Linked DNA regions of Canis lupus familiaris. The protein of the gene in region 2 purifies or fractionates together with the protein of the main gene of each other region. This does not show direct contact. Links are inferred from orthologs where the notes say so. Each region holds a gene or a part of one and is shown on either strand. Other genes may lie near its edges.

Region 1 (3,748 bases), on a different chromosome or scaffold from region 2:
ACTGGGCATGCACAGGAAACAAAACAGACAAAAATCCATGCTCTCGTGGAGCTGACATTTCAGTAGAGGAAACAACCCAAATAACTACAATTAGCTAATTATCTAGTTTGTTAGAAGGCGATTGGAGCAGGAAAATAAGAAAAAGCAGATGAGGGGAAGGGCTTAGCAGCATGGGAGAGGGATGTTTGCTGCTTTAGTTAGGGTAGGAAGGAATCACCCTGATAAGGTGATATTTGAGTAAAACGCTGAGAGAGGTAAGGGAGGGAGCCCTGAGGATGCCAAGGGAAAGAGTCTATTCCGGACAGAAGGAGCAGCCCATGCAAAGACCTCGAGGAAGGGGAATGCCCGGTATCTTTTCTGAAAGAGCAACGTAGCTGGGACCCAGTGAGTGAAAGCATAGGATAGGATGTCTGGGTTTAGCTTATGGATTTTGTTGTTGTTGTTTGTTTTCTCGTATTTTCCTTTTTTTTTTTTTTTTTTTTGGATGAATTATTTTTTTTAAAAGCTTACAGAAAAGATTAAGATCAAACAGTGTCTTGGTTCCAGTTCAAGTTCCTGGACTCGGATTGTCGTTCAAAACTCATTATCTACTTCCTGTAATCCTGAGGCAGCTAGTTCACCCTTGTGAGCCTGTTTCTGTCCCTGTAAGATGAGTATTAATACTAGGACAGGGTTGGGACGCCTGGGTGGCCCAGGGGTTGAGCATCTGCCTTGGCTCAGGTCGTGATCCTTGGGTCCTGGGCTCGAGACCCTCCCCCTCCGGCTCCCTGCAGGGAGCCTGCTTCTCCCTCTGCCTCTGTGTCCCCCTCTCTGTGTGTGTCTCTTATGAAGAAATAAAGTCTTTTAAAAAAAATAATACAACAGAGGTTTGGTGAGCATTTAGTGAGCATTTAGTGAGACAATGCAAGGGGCTTTTGGCCGGGTGTCTGGAACACAAGTGCTTAGTAACTGTGTCTGGCCATTGTTACCCATTACTGCCTTCCACCCGCTTACTCGGTTTTTTGGTGTAAGGTGCGACTGCCGCACGCGGATGGTCATTTCCCCTTTAAGAACCTGATTGGGCGGGGAGCCAGCTTCCCCGCACCCTTTCCAAATTTTCCAATCTCCGCTCGGCATTTTCTGCCCGAAGGGCTCCGATTGGACAATCTGCACCAATCAGAGGCTGGAGCGGGCTCTGCCGGCGGCCCAGCTCCGCCCCTGGACGGGCCCTGCCCCCTGCCCGGTCAGCCCCGTTGCTATGGGGACTGGTGGGCGGCGAGGGGGGAAAGCCCCGGATGTTCGTTGGGGATTTAACATGGCGGCGGCAGTGGCCGCGGTGGCGGCGGCGCAAGAGAGCTGAGGGCGGTGTGAGGGTTCGGGATTCCGAGTCGAGCTGCTAGGCCGCGAGCAACTGCAGCGCCGAGCCGGTAGGATCAGCGGTCTGGCCTGGAGATTGGGGTGGGCCGGGCCGTGGCGGTGGGAGAGCGTTTACGCAAGTAGGGGGCGGGGCCGCGGGGGTCAAAGTTCACTCGAAGAGGGAAGGGTCGCGTCGGAGAGGTCGGGGGTCAGTGCCGCCGGGGAGGGTGGTGTACAAGAGGTCAGAGGTCAGAGTGGCGAAGGGGGCGTGGCGAAGGGGACCTCGAAGTTCGAAATTTGAAGTGGGGCCCTTTGGAGCTTTGGAGGGGGTCGGGGCGAGGGTCACAAAATGGGGGTCAAAGCGAGTCATTTGAAGGGAGGGCGCGCTTACCAGAGTCGGAGATCACAGCCCCCGGGGCGGCGGGTTGCGGGTTTGCGGCAGCAGCCGGCGGAGCAGATGCCGAGACTGAGGTTGGGGGGCCACCTTTTTAAGGGCTCAAATGTGGGGCGTGGCCAGAGGGGGCAAAGGTCAGAGTGTGACAGATGATGGACCTGAGGGTCAACAGTTGAAACCCCAGTGGGATCCATTGCTGGGGAGGACGGGAGGGATGCCCCAGAGCCATCAAAGGTGCTTCCTGGCCGGGTAAAGGGGAGCCCGCGCCCACAAATAACGAAAAGAAGAGCAAGCACTCGTGAATTACTATGTGCCCGGTCACTTGGACGCTTTACACGTATTTAACCCTCTCCGCAGCCTTATAGGGTTGGCGCTGTTATTAAGAGCCCAAGCGATCTGCCCAGGATCATCTAATGAAGAAGTTGCGGGGCTGGGATTCAGACCGGAGTTCTGGGCCGAGTCGTACCAGGCTCTACTGCTTCTCGGGCAATCGTAACTTTGGCTAATATTTAATGAGGCCTAACGCCGTGCTCGCCGCTCTTGATTCGTTATACCGCGAACTTGTGAGGTGGGTCCTGGATAGACCCACTTTACAGACAGGAAAACTGAGGCTCGGGTACCTTCTGCTGAGTAACAGGAGGCGGGTTCCAAGCTGGGTCTGACGGACTCCAGAGCTCCTGCCCCTGGGTTGTTACACTGTAGATTGTTAAAGGACGTTCCTGTCCTGGAAGCAGGGGGCTGGGCAGGGCTGAGCCACTCCCCGGACTGGAATGGATTGTCTCTGGGCTCCTTGGGAGGGTGTGATCTGGGAAGAAAAGTTCTCATGGACCTACGCGGGTGGGGGTGTTTGTGGGTGGCCCCGAGTCCAAGTGAGTCTGATGGGCTTCTGGCTGGGGAGGATGTCCCTGAAGGGAACCCAGTACAAGGCCGAGTGTTCTCTGTACTTAAAACCCCAAGCTCTCATGGTGGTCCCAGATGGCTCCCACGCCATTTCCTTCTGCTCTCCGGGTCCCTTGTCAAGGTCCAACCCCACTGGCCTCTTTGCTTTCTTCAACTCTGTAGGTATATGCCACCCTCCAGGTCTTTGACGTTCCTCTTCCCTCTGCCCAGAATCCTTTCCCCGCCCGCCCCCCACTCGCAGTCACCCACGTGCAGCCCTACCAGCACCACCTGGCCCTCACTGTCCCTCACACGCCCTTTATCTCACTCTCTTGTTTTCTCCCCAGGGCTTTGCTCTGTTCTTACCTTGTTTGTCAGGGCACCATGTGTTGTCCGCCTCCCCTCCCTCCCTCCCCAAAGAACGTGGGGCCCACGCAGCAGGAATTTCTCCTTGCTGTTCCTTCCCTGAATCCCGGCCTGAAGCAGCCTGGCCAGCGGAGGATGCTTGGTGGCTGGTGGTTGGATGTCGGACACTGTGCTGGGTGCTGAGACGGCAGCAGCGGGCAAGACACAGAACCCTGGGCCTCCAAGGGCTCTCCGTGTCCCTTGGTGGGAGCAGACTGGAACCAGACCCCCAGCCAGTGATACGGGGCTACATCTGGATCCCCAGGGTGCCCGGTCCCCAGGGGTCGGGGGGCAGTGGAGCAGGGGCTGCTGAGCAGCTGCCCTGTATCTGGAGCGTAAGTACCGAGGACTGGTTCAGGGAGCAGCTGCTAGAGTGGGATGCCTGCTGCTCACACAGCTCCATCACTCAGGCTTTGTGGCCGTGGGCAACCTGCTTAACTTTCTGGGCCTCAGTTTCTTCCTCTGCAAAATGGGAATGATAACGGCCACGTCACAGGATGGCCACAAGGGCACAGAGTGTGAAGCGCATGGCCCCGGGCCTGGCACCTGCTATGCGCCGTGTTGGCATTAGTCCTGCTGCTGCCACCACCTGGGGAGGACCTCAGAAATGAGGGAGGGCCCCACCCCACCTGCCTCCTGGCTCTCTCAGGCAGCTGCCCTGCACCCCCTCCAGCTCTGGCAGGGTCACCGGGTGGGCACACTGCCAGGCAGTCCTGCGAGGCTGGCCCAACCTCA
Region 2 (3,648 bases):
TCCTCTAGGGTTTCTGAAGTACTTTCTCCAGAGAAGCACTTCATACTTGTTTTATAATGGTTTTATATGTCAGTCCTCTATTTTCTAGATATTCACTGTGGACTGAGATTGTTTTTTCCCTCTCTTCTGTTTCTCCACCAGTGTTCCACATCACTTGGTATACATCATACAATATATCCAGTAAATGTTGTTTCTTTTAAATTCTAACGAATAGCTTACATACATTTTTGTGGGTTCTATATTGCCCCTCCCCCCATTTTTGGCTTCTGTTAACATTAAATTCTTCGGAAATAAACTGAACTAACATTTCATCTTTTTGCATTAAAATTTTATTAAATAAGTGAGCTGTTAATGCTTGGCTGGCTTAGTGGTTGAGCCAGATATCTGCCTTCGGCTCAAGTCATGATCCCGGGGTCCTGGGATCAAGTCCCACATAGGCTCCCCACAAGAAGCCTGCTTCTCCCTCTGCCTAGGTCTCTGGCTCTCTCTCTCTCTCTCTTCTCTCTTCTATGTATGTGTCTCATGAATAAATAAATAAAATTTTTTAAAAACGTGAGCTGTTGACTAGAACTTGGTAATACTTTTATTATGCCTATATTTTGGTTGGTTCAGGATAGAATTTATTTAGTCTATATTCTGTTTATTGATAGGCTTGTCAAAAGCCTAGTAAGAAGTGGTGTTCTGGGGTGCCTGGCTAGCTCAGTAGGTAGAGCATGTGACTCTTGACCTCGAGGTTGAGGTCATGAGTTTGAGCCCCACATGGGGAGTTTTTAAAAAAAATAATGTAGTAGTGCTCCTAACAATTTTATGCCTCCAAATTTGCTAGATTATAAAATTAAATAGAAAATTAATTTTCATCAGTTACATCTATTTTTCCTTTATTACAGTATTTAAACCCAGGATAGTATTATATACTGTGGGATAGCTGAAGAAAAAGATTGATTTCTAACACGTCATTTCTTTTTTTTTTTTCTAACACATCATTTCTGTTTTGAGGCTTTATTACTATAATATATTTATTAAATACTTTTAGGTTGGCAAAAGCAGCTTTTGATGATGCAATTGCAGAACTGGATACGCTGAGTGAAGAAAGCTATAAGGACTCTACACTTATCATGCAGTTGTTACGTGATAATCTGACACTATGGACTTCAGACATGCAGGGTGATGGTAAGGAAACTCCGAAGTTAAATGCATCTCTTTTCAGCTATTGGATATTTTTACTCTTAGGAATTCCTTGGTATTTCTTCATACTAAGCTACAGTTTAGACTCAGCCTATCCCCCAACAAACTATCAAATTTTAATTATTGTTTTTATAGCAAATGATCTCAAAGTACAATTTCCATTTGGGACTGTATGTTAATAATATAAAAGACCTCCTTGGAAAGGGGGATCTTTTTAATATTCAAAGATTTAAAAGTTAAAAGATTTAAAAGTTTTGTCTCTAATGATATTTGCTAACCTTAGTTTTTTTCTCTCACTGTGTTTTGGAAAATGGAGACAGGAATCAGCTCATTTTCTTTTTCTCAGATTCAATTTTAGGGATCTAAGATTGTATTTGATTGTCATGATCACTGCTTTGGCTGACTGGTATCCTGAGGTTAAAACTAGATGGTGTCAAAAAAAAAAAAAAACTAGATGGTGTCAGTAAATATTTATGAACCATTTTCTCTGGAAATCTTTAAAGAAGGAACTTGTCTCTGGATTTTATAAAGCAAATGGAATGTCCTGCTTTTTGTCTGTAAGAGGTCTGATATAGTCTCTGTTTTGTTGTTATTGTTTGTTTTTAGTTATAAATATTATTTTACAAAACTTAGTCTTGTGATGGGGGGTTAATATTTATTCTAAATGCCCAAATTTGTCATAATTGTTGATTTTAAAGGAGATTTTATTCTTATTCTTTATTTATCCCAAATAATCCTTTTTTATCCATGATAGATTGTTGAAGAGTTGAGGAGAGGGCATGGGGCACATAAACTAGTGTGGCATGCGCATTTTATGAGCTATAGCTCTATAGTTGGTGGTATGTGGAGTGGAAACAAAAAGTTTTGTCAATTTAAGTTGCAGATCCTTTAAGGACTCTGAAGCATATGTTGCATTGCTTGAGGCTGTATAGTCTGTTAGTCAAGACAGCATGCTGAATCCAGCATGTTGTCTTTGGAAGCATTGTACTTAAAAGTATTTCTGGGGATGCCTGGGTGGCTCAGTGGTCAAGCGTCAGCCTTTGGTCAGGTCACAGTCTCAGGTTCCGGGATTGAGTTCTGCATCGGGACTCTCCCTGCAAGGAGCCTGCTTCTCCTGCCTATGTCTCTGCCTGCCTCTCTGTGTCTCTCATGAATAAATAAATAAAATCTTTTTAAAAAATTAAAAAGTACTTCTGAAAATGGGTTTTTCAGGGCATGTATGTTGTAAGTTTCCTTACTCCAGAAGGATAGAGTCAGATTTTAGACTTCTTTAGGTAATAAAGTGAGAATTAGGTGACTCCGCTTTAAAGCTAACTAGCTTTATGAAATATTTAGATATTTGGCTAGGGTTGGCTTGAGATGTGTGGCATATGTGATCTACTTGCACACTTACCCAACAAAGCCAGGTGGAGCCACATACTACTTTTCAACACAGTACTTCAGGCAACCGCTACCAGTCTGTAGGACTCAAAACCAATTTACCATCTCTGAACTAATGACTTGAGGTTCCTTCCAGCTTTGACATTTTGTTGTATTCTAAATAATAACTACTCAGAAGAATGGCCAAACAGCTGTGGACTCTTCACAGTCACTCTCAGCTCAGAGAAGACTAATATCTCTCTGCCTGTTTGAGGGGCTAAAGGAAAACATGTGGAGAGTTTGGTAAGCGGTATTGACCTATAAGTAAGGTATATACCCCTGTGACCTCTGGGGACATTTTTCTGAGGGTGAAAATAACAAAGAAGGTGACCTGGGTTGAAACCTTTCTTTCTTTCTTTCTTTTTTTTTTTTAAAGACATTTCATGCCAACTTTTATAACTAAACTTTTGCTAGATTATAAAAGTAAATAGAAATAAGGTTTATTTTCTAATGCTACTTATATATCACTGATAACCAGGAATTAAAGTAACTATATGTCCATTCAATTTTTACAAAGAACCAAAGATAACACTTTTTCTTGGTTATAAAGCATTTTATGAAATAGGGTTATTCTCTTGAAACTACTTTTCATAGTTGGAGGGGTTCTTTGTATAGAGATGTTTCATTACATTTCTGATAGATCTCTCTTTAATCCTGTTTTAAATTTAGTGAAATCCAGTTGCTATAGTTCTTATCACTTTGTAAGTTGAACAGTTGATTAAATTTAGTTGAGACAGACTAATTTTCATTGAAGAGCTTTGTATTTGAAATTAGGAAACAAAAAAATTATGAAACATAGTTTATTAAAAATTTAAGTAGTCTTCGGACATTTTAGTAAAATTAACAAATTATCTGAATTTAAAAATTGTGGGTACTAGTAATTTATGTGTTTTATTAAATAGGTTTTGTGACTTAGAATATGCAAAATTGCAGTCATGAAATAGGCAGTTCCTCAGGGTGTTAATTTACTTGAACATTATTTAGTTTTTTTCCTTTTTAATTTTATTACGAAAAACGGTGTCAAAAAACTAGAATTAAGGGTTT

What was found. The genes of interacting proteins can lie anywhere in the genome.
Region 1: the proteins of YWHAE (region 2) and PAK4 purify together in Homo sapiens (affinity purification with mass spectrometry; 4 studies listed by BioGRID and IntAct, with this or other methods). This does not show direct contact. The link is inferred for Canis lupus familiaris from reciprocal best matches to the Homo sapiens genes YWHAE and PAK4.

What each region holds. Positions count from the first base shown.
Region 1 is NC_049222.1:114,835,415-114,839,162, reverse strand, and holds the start of PAK4 (serine/threonine-protein kinase PAK 4), read left to right. Parts: upstream 1-1,216; 5' UTR 1,217-1,406; intron 1,407-3,748. UniProt on the Homo sapiens protein: Serine/threonine-protein kinase that plays a role in a variety of different signaling pathways including cytoskeleton regulation, cell adhesion turnover, cell migration, growth, proliferation or cell survival.
Region 2 is NC_049230.1:45,479,312-45,482,959, reverse strand, and holds part of YWHAE (14-3-3 protein epsilon), read left to right. Parts: intron 1-1,033; coding exon 1,034-1,170; intron 1,171-3,648. UniProt on the Homo sapiens protein: Adapter protein implicated in the regulation of a large spectrum of both general and specialized signaling pathways. Binds to a large number of partners, usually by recognition of a phosphoserine or phosphothreonine motif.